Linked DNA regions of Macaca mulatta. The protein of the gene in region 1 purifies or fractionates together with the protein of each later gene. This does not show direct contact. Links are inferred from orthologs where the notes say so. Each region holds a gene or a part of one and is shown on either strand. Other genes may lie near its edges.

Evidence for each region.
Region 2: the proteins of MTOR (region 1) and AKT1S1 purify together in Homo sapiens (affinity purification with western blotting; 8 studies listed by BioGRID and IntAct, with this or other methods). This does not show direct contact. The link is inferred for Macaca mulatta from reciprocal best matches to the Homo sapiens genes MTOR and AKT1S1.

What each region holds. Positions count from the first base shown.
Region 1 is NC_133406.1:229,491,532-229,495,335, reverse strand, and holds part of MTOR (serine/threonine-protein kinase mTOR), read right to left. Parts: intron 3,630-3,804; coding exon 3,385-3,629; intron 1,959-3,384; coding exon 1,743-1,958; intron 1,383-1,742; coding exon 1,177-1,382; intron 1-1,176. UniProt on the Homo sapiens protein: Serine/threonine protein kinase which is a central regulator of cellular metabolism, growth and survival in response to hormones, growth factors, nutrients, energy and stress signals.
Region 2 is NC_133424.1:62,337,068-62,341,499, forward strand, and holds the start of AKT1S1 (proline-rich AKT1 substrate 1), read right to left. Parts: upstream 3,057-4,432; 5' UTR 2,531-3,056; coding exon 2,324-2,530; intron 134-2,323; coding exon 1-133. Other genes in the region: TBC1D17 (TBC1 domain family member 17), read left to right, coding at 4,198-4,218. UniProt on the Homo sapiens protein: Negative regulator of the mechanistic target of rapamycin complex 1 (mTORC1), an evolutionarily conserved central nutrient sensor that stimulates anabolic reactions and macromolecule biosynthesis to promote cellular biomass generation and growth.

The DNA.
Region 1 (3,804 bases):
GTTCGCCACCATACTGGGCTCATTTTTTTTATTTTTAGTAGAGACAGAGTTTCACCATGTTGGCCAGGCTGGTCTCGAACTCCTGACCCCAGGTGATCTGGCCACCTCGGCCTCCCAAAGTGCTGGGATTACAGGTGTGAGCCTCCATGCCCAGCCTTCAACAATGATTTCTATTCCTTCCTAAAACTCAGAAAATTTTTTAAGACTTAAAATGACAGGCACTTCTAACGCAGGCCAGCAGTTAAATAAATCATTAGGCTAAAAACAGAAGTGCCAACGTAAGTACAGCTTCCTAATTTGTTGATTGATGATATAATTTACAGCCACTTTACAACAAATTGTGAACAAACAACATTTCTCTAGAGTGAGTTACATATATTAATGATTTTCTATGTTTAAGTTCCTTATATATTACAAAAAGTGTTTACTTCAAAACAAAGCATGAGGGAGGGTCAGGAAGCAGACAGCGAGCAATGGGGACAGGAAATGAATGGGTGAACCACATAGAGACCCAGAAGAGGCAGCTGGAAATAACTTTGCCAGGCAGGACTGGACCATGTATTGCTCACCAGGAGGCCACAGAACTTACTCAGGTAGGTGAAGACAAAAACTGAGGAGCCATATCTCAAGAGGAATTCTACCTTAGGCTACAGACCAAGCAACTGAGTTTGGCATTCTCATATTATTTAAGAACAAAAGCCAGGATCACAGACTGGGGCAATGACTATCAGAATAAATGGTGGAAACGGTCTCACATTGGTTATTTTTGTGAAGAACAATGGCTTCCATGCTTGACCTGGCACCAGCAAGAAAAGCAGGAGAGTGGAAGGATAGGGAGGCGCTGGGAAGTCTGACACCATCTGCAGCAGATCAATCCAGCAAGCAAAGAGGGCCAAGAAATGGGATCACTGGCGACTTGCCAGGAAAAAGAAAGAACTACATGAGAGGACTCCGAACCACCTTGGAGTCATATTGACAAAGGGCTCATGAGGTGATGAGCACTGGAACTGCCATTATAAAGCCAGGGAAACGTGGACCCTTGCAGACAAATGTGGCTTTTACCAGGTACCTCAATCTTTCTCCCCAATCCTTGTCCTCAACTCCGCTTCCTCAAGCAGCTCTCAAAGTGAGAGTCCTGTCTTCCCTGCCTGTGGGTCTGGCCATCATCCCGGTTACCTGGATGAGCATCTTGCGCAGGAAAGGCATGACAAACGCCGGGTTCATGCTACTGAGTCGGCCCACAGTGCAGATGGCCAGCTCCCGGATCTCAAACACCTGGTCATTCAGAGCCACAAACAAGGCCTGCAAGTTCTCCGCCTGGGCCAGGTGTGCATCAAAGCGCTCGTCCAGGGATGCCAAGACACAATAGCGAATGTCAGGGTCTGCAAGAGCAATGGAGCCTTTGAACATTTCTTCATGACCCCATCACTTTAGCCCTTCCCAGCTTCCACCTCCACTGCCATCAGCGTAGTGGGAAGATTCCAGATGCTTTCTCTCATCTAACCTCTGTTACTCTTTTCTCTACTCATAGGAGTAAAGACAAAGAATTAAAGGCAGATTATCTTACACTAAGAGGCTAGAGTAGCTGCGCCTAACACGCCTTGGCAGAGAAATAGCTGAATATCAGCTTGTTGAGGCCGAAGATCTCTAGAGAGGCCTTTCATTACGTAATGAAACTGGCTACTCGCAACTGCCCTAAGCTCCTTAACTCCCCTAGATTGCTTCTGTCTGGGAAGCCTTACCAGGATCTGTTATCCCAACCACGAGCAGTTTGCTAAGCACGTCTGCCACCACTTGCACTGCAGTCTGGCTAACCACATGAGCATGGCCACTGATGAGGTGGATGGAGGGCGTGAGCAGGCGGGAACAGGTACGGGCAGCCTCCATGCGGATCTCCTTGTGCTCACTGTTTAGAAAATGATCCGCACAGTGGCGAACAAATTGGGTCAGAGAGTGGCCTGGATAGAAAGGCAGAGAGAAAACAGAATAAACACTGCTGCTGCAGACAGGTAGGTCTGCAGCTTGCTAGCTGAATTTTCCATTTTGAGGCTACTAATTCTACTTTCAACCAGATATTGATCAATAAGATACTGACTCAGAACTCCTTTTTTTTTTTTTTTTTTTTTTGAGACGGAGTCTCGCTCTGTCACCCAGGCTGGAGTGCAGTGGCACGATCTCCGCTCACTGCAAGCTCCACCTCCCGGGTTCACGCCATTCTCCTGCCTCAGCCTCCCGAGTAGCTGGGATTACAGGCGCCCACCACCATGCCCGGCTAATTTTTTTTTTCTTTTCTTTTTGTATTTTTAGTAGAGACAGGGTTTCACCATGTTAGCCAGGATGATCTCGATCTCCTGACCTCGTGATCCGCCCGCCTCGGCCTCCCAAAGTGCTGGGATTACAGGCGTGAGCCACCGCACCCGGCCTGACCCAGAACTCTTAAAGGGTAACAAGGGGGCTTTCAATCAGCAGAAAGGCAAAAGAGAAATAGAGAAACCACAATAGAGAAACCACAGGTGGCTGTCTCCAGACAGCATGTTCAGGCTTTCTGTACTTGCTTGTTTCTCTACAGTCTTGACCAATACTACCTATATGATCTTAAATTTCAAAAGTATCAACTTCTCCTCCTGAAATATATCTCTGTGGGGTATTATTGTGGGTTTATTTGCAGTTTAGAACTACACAGTACAGTACTTTTAGAAATCATACCGCCAGCCGGGCACAGTGGCTCATGGTTGTAATCCTAGCACTTTGGGAAGCCGAGGCAGGCAGATCGCTTGAGGTCAGGAGTTCCAGAACAGCCTGGCCAACATGGTGAAACTCCATCTCTACCAAAAATACAAAAATTAGCTGGGTATGGTGACACGCACCTACAGTCCCAGCTACTCAGGAGGCTGTGGCTGGAGAATCGCTTGAACTCAGGAGATGGAGGATGCAGTGAGCTGATATTGTGCCACTGCACACCAGCCTAGGCAACAGAGAGACTTTGTCTCAAAAAAAAAAAAAAAAGAGAAAAGACACCATACCACCATAGACATGGAAACACCCAAAAGCCCCTGCTTATACATTTTAAAGCATTACATATCATCTCAGCTACAAGGAGGTGAAAAAGTGGGGACATGAGGGGGATCTGTCTCTGCAGCATTATTTCCTTGGATCAACGTATACTTTCCCTCAAACGATCTGCCCCCAAACTCAGTATGGGACAAAGAAACAAACAGGAATTACCAATATATGGAAAGAGTCTAGGAAGGATGAGCTGCTACAGAATCAGCTACCCTGTCTCTGGGATCACAGCAAGATCCAGGAAGTCTAGATACTTTCATTCCTTTCCCAAAGTTTCCAGCAGCTCTCACTACCTTGCCAAGAGACATTGTAATTTCTTACCTTCAAATTCAAAGCTGCCAAGCGTTCGGAGGGCAAGAGTGATGCTGCCCACATCGCTGGCCTCAGGGAGGGTTGTGAGGCCAGGAGAGGCCAGCTGATGGGCCAGGCCCTTGGGCATGCCTGGGTGGCGGAGTGGTTTGTGCATAAGGACCAGGGACAGCATTTTCAGTAGCCCATCTTGAATGTCCTTCTTTAGCTGTGGAATCTGACGACTCAGGTCGTAGAGCACTGCAGTGAGGGCAGGGCTGAGGGGAAGGAAACAAGCCACATAAGGGCTGGGCACATGACACTCAGTCTGTTCTTGGGAAGAAATAGCTTTCTCTCCTAGCAAGGGGATCAGGCCTCTGTTCTTCAGAGTAGAAAGGATATTATAAAATAAGAATAAAAGTGTAAACTCTCTTGGCTTAGTCTCAGGTATCC
Region 2 (4,432 bases), on another chromosome or scaffold:
CATTCCTCCTTCCCCTTTGGCCCTGCCCTGGCCTCTGTGTGAGCCACCAGCCACGTGAGCAGGGAGTACTGGAAAGCCAGGGAGTCCCAGCAGAGATGCCTCTCACAGTAAAACCTGCACCGGGTTCTGAAGACTGAGTACAAAAAAGCAGAATGAGCCGGGCACGGTGGCTCAGGTCTGCAACCCCAACACTTTGGGAGGCCGAGGCAGGCAGATCACTGAGCCCAGGAGTTCGAGGCCAGCCTGGGCAACATGTTGAGACCCCGTCTCTATTTCAAAAAAAAAAAACGAAGAAGAAGAATCTCATCTGCTTTTTTTACTCTTTTAACATGGTGTCTAGAAAATTTAGAACTCCAAATGGGGCTTGCGTTGAATCTGCTGGGTGATGCCACCCTGCCCCATCGCCCGGCCGTCCCATCCAGAGTGTCCTGCACGAGGCCCAGGGGGCTCCTTCTGCACCCAGAGCTGATGCTACCCCTCGCCATAGTCCTCAGGACTATAGTTCTCAGCCTTCAGCCTGGCCCTGGAGGCTCTGCGTGTTCTGGCCAACGCCAGCTCCCCGGCTATCCTGCCTCCATGGCCTTCCAGAGCCTCTCAGGCCCAAGGCCTTCAGAAAACGTGGTCCCTGACCTGGATGCTCTGTTCCCCACCCACCTTTCACTCATCCTAGGGCGGAAGAAACTTTCCCTCACCCCTAGATCCAGCCAGTCCCCTCCCTCGGGGGTCCCACAACATCTGAGTGGCCACCTTCCCAGCACACTTCCTTCCAGAGAGAACTGGCTGGTTCCATGACTGAGGCCTCAGCGAGAGTCGGAGCTGAACAAAGGTAAGAAATGGTGCTGGTGCCGCTCTCTGTGCTGGGAAATCCACGTGGCTTTTTCCTACAAGACTGTTCGGGCAGGTCCTCTGTCGTCCCTCATCCCCCAGCGTGCATCAGATGCCTTCCAGAGCCCATCTGATGCTGTGGGCTTCCTCCATGAGCATTCAGGTCACCAGAGCTTGTGACAGCTGTACCCTGGCTGCCTCCTGCATCAGACTGTGAATTCTCCCAAGGTCAGGGATTTGTATTCACAGGACAGGTTGGCCCTAAGCAGACAATGCAGGGTGCATCTCCTTACCGGGTGAGAAGAGCGAGGGTAGGGGGGCCGGGTCCTTGCCCTGACTCTGTCTCAAACCTGCTGTGTGACCTTGGACAGCTCACTGGCCCTCTCTGTGCCTCATTTTCTTCCCCATTAACCAGAGTGGTTGAGCCAGAGCTGCTGGGCTGTGGAAGAGGCTCCTTGGGGAGGCAGTGAGCACACTGCCACTGCAGGGATTCAGGCACAGCTGTGGTCCAGCCCACCAGGGTGAAGGGAGCAGGGAGTCTGGAGTTTGAATGAAATTTGCAGGCCCTTTATGACTCACGATCATAGATATCGGTGTTTGCTGAGCACCTATTCAGTGCTGGGATTCCACACCTGGCATCTCACCTCCCATCTGACTCACTCAGGGAGTTCAAAGCCCCGAGGGAAGTAAGAGGTTTATCCACCACTTCCCAGAAGCCACGCAACGACCCAAGATGGGATCAACCTTCTCATCCCACCCTTTCACCTACGCTATGAGGCAGGAGTTTTAGTTACAGTTCACTCCATTTTACAGTTGCAAACTCAGGCCCAGGGACAGTCAGCATCTTGAAGAGTCCGACCCCACAACTGGAAGAGGCAGGGCTGGGACCTGGACTCTGACAGTCTAGATCCAGGGCCTGCTCTAAATCCTGACCGCCATCCTGCCTGCCTTTAGGAGGGCAGATATTATAATCTAGATGGAAAAGTGAGGCTCAGAGAGCTTAGGACACTGGCAAGAAAGCACACAGCTACACAGGGCACAAGTGGGGCTGAAACCGCTGACTGCCCAGCCTCCAAAACCCAATGAACTGGGGGGTACCCAGTGTCTCAAACACACCCCTCATGTCCTTCCTAGCTGATGGAGGAAGAAACTGAGGCTCGAAGCAAGAAGTGGCCGGTCCAAAGTCAACTGCCTGGCTGTGCTAGGCCTGGGGCTCTCACTTCCATGGGCCCGCAGCCCCTAATGACATTCGGAGAAGAGGGGGAGCGGGGGTCCCGGAGGAGGACGTCAGGATGAAACTCCCTGCCTGTACTCAATCTTGGAGGAGCCACGGGATTGAAGAGAGTGAAATAGGGTGAGTGGGTTGTGAGGGTTCCCCCAACTCAGGAGACATGAGCAAAAACGACAGGCGACTTCCACAGGCCTCTCTGCCAAGGTCCAGGGGCACCTGTAATGTTACCCAACAGGAGAGTAGCCAAGACCTGGCGGTCCTCCTTACCCTTGAGCTTCTAGAGGAGGTCCTGTTTCCTCCAAGGAGCTGAGAGATGGAGGAAGAACCCGCCCCGATGGAGAAGTTTCGTTTAAGATCAGGGAGAGATGAGACGAAAGTGAGACGTGTTCCCCACAGGAGGGGGAGCACGATGTGGCTGTCCTCTTTGGATGCGGGGAGGAGGGAAAGAGCTAAGGAGAAGAAGGGTGGAACCATCCCTCCTGTCGAAATTTTAGTGCTCCACACCCCAAGATGTGAGGAACCCGAGCATGAACGCAGTAGCCACGGGTGGGGTGAGTGCCTGGGGCCAGGCTCAGCTGCCCCGAGACCTCCCAACCTCGCCCGTGGTCCAGGGAGGACCCACTGGTCTAGGAAGAAAACAGGAAATCCCGCCCAGCCGGAGGCCAGGACCGGAAGTCCCGCCTTTGGAAGGGTGAGGGGCGCCCCGAGGCCCCCCAACCCATTCCCCGACCCCGTGGACGTGGTCCACGGCCCAAGTAGAGATCCCAGGCGCTCTGGACACCGCAAGGTGAGGCTGTCTAGGATTTGCCTCAGGTCTGACAGGACGATTCCCGCAAGCGACCCCCTTCCAGCGCTCAGCAAAGGGTCGCTGGCGGACCTCTGCCCTCTGATCTGTGCAGGCCATACCCCTCCCGTGAGCCGCTCGCCCTCCCAGCGCCCCGCTGCCTCAGGACGGCCAAATCCTCCCCACACCGCGGTTCACAACGCCGCCTCCACTCACGTGCCCGTAGCCAGCATGGCCGGCCCGGCGCCGTCGCCGCCCTCAAAAGACATGGCGGCGCCTTGCGTCACGTCCGCGTAGTTGCCCCGCCTCCTCTCTGTACACTCCGCCTCCCTTATCGGGGCCGCCCGAGATCAAGATGGCGGCCACAGGGACTTCATCCGAACCAGTGGGCAATGGCGACGGCAGCGTGCCCATAAAAAAAATGGCGAAAAAAACGCTTCAGCTTTCTCGCCTAGAGCATTTCCATTTGCCCCCAACAATAATGGCCGTCCTCATACGCTCGCTCATGACCACAGCAAACGAAGGCAAGCGATCTGACGTCCCTGACCCACGATAAACTTCTTCGACAAAAGTGGAGGAAATCGGTGCTCGTTAACAACATGGCAGCCAACCGGTCTAATCAGCCCATAGTGTACATTGGCTCTCCCTCCCTCCAACCTGCTCCCATTCAGCACCAAAGCTGGCAAAGATCCAACACGGCAGCATTTCTTGCTTCGGTTTGCCAGGCTTCAAAATGGCGGCTCAGCCCGCTTTCTCGCGACGGTGACTCAGAAATTCGTTTGGGGCCGCTTCGTTTCTGGGGGCACTGACGGCTTCATCCCGTTATCCCGAGTCCCTCAGTGCCTCTTGTGGTGTACAGCTCCTCTCACCTCCTCTTCTCTTATCCGTTCGGCTCTTCCAGCTGTCGCGCCCCGCAGAGAGATGGGACACCCCCGTATTAACATGGCCTTAGCCGACCGGCTTAGGCCATGCCCTCGAGCAAAATGGTACCTCCTTGGCTTCAATTCCAGTATACAACATGGAGAAGGAAGTGGGCGTTTCGAGGCGTGCTTGCCCCAGGTGGTGCAGCTCTCAGACCCTCCCACTTGTTTACTTCGTGGTGAGAGGGAGAACACTGCGCCTGCGCACTCTCCGTAGCCGGCTCCACCTTCAGCGTCTGCGCCACGTGGCTCCGATCCACCCTCGAAGTTCCAGTGGAATATCCCCCTTCTGGAAAAATGGTTTCACCCACTCTTTCTCTGGAACTGGTCGGGGCGCTACCACTGTCCGGTCCGGAGGGGAACTGTTTTCTCCGGAAGTGACCACACGCTGACTCGGAAAAGGAGGAGGCGGGGCAGTGGGGCCTTCGGCGGCGACTATGGAAGGAGCCGGCTACAGGGTAAGCACTGAGGACGCATTCCCTCGCTTCAGTGTATGCGAAACGCCCCGTCTGGTGATGAGCTCTTCCCTCAGGCCTTGCGAGTGCACTTGAGAAACTCCGATCTCTTATAAACGCGCCGTCACCCTCCCGTCTACCGCCCCAGGGAAGAACCTCTCATGGCCCCGCCCCCCGGCTCAGGCGACTCCTTGGGCCCTGCCCTCTGTGGAACGCA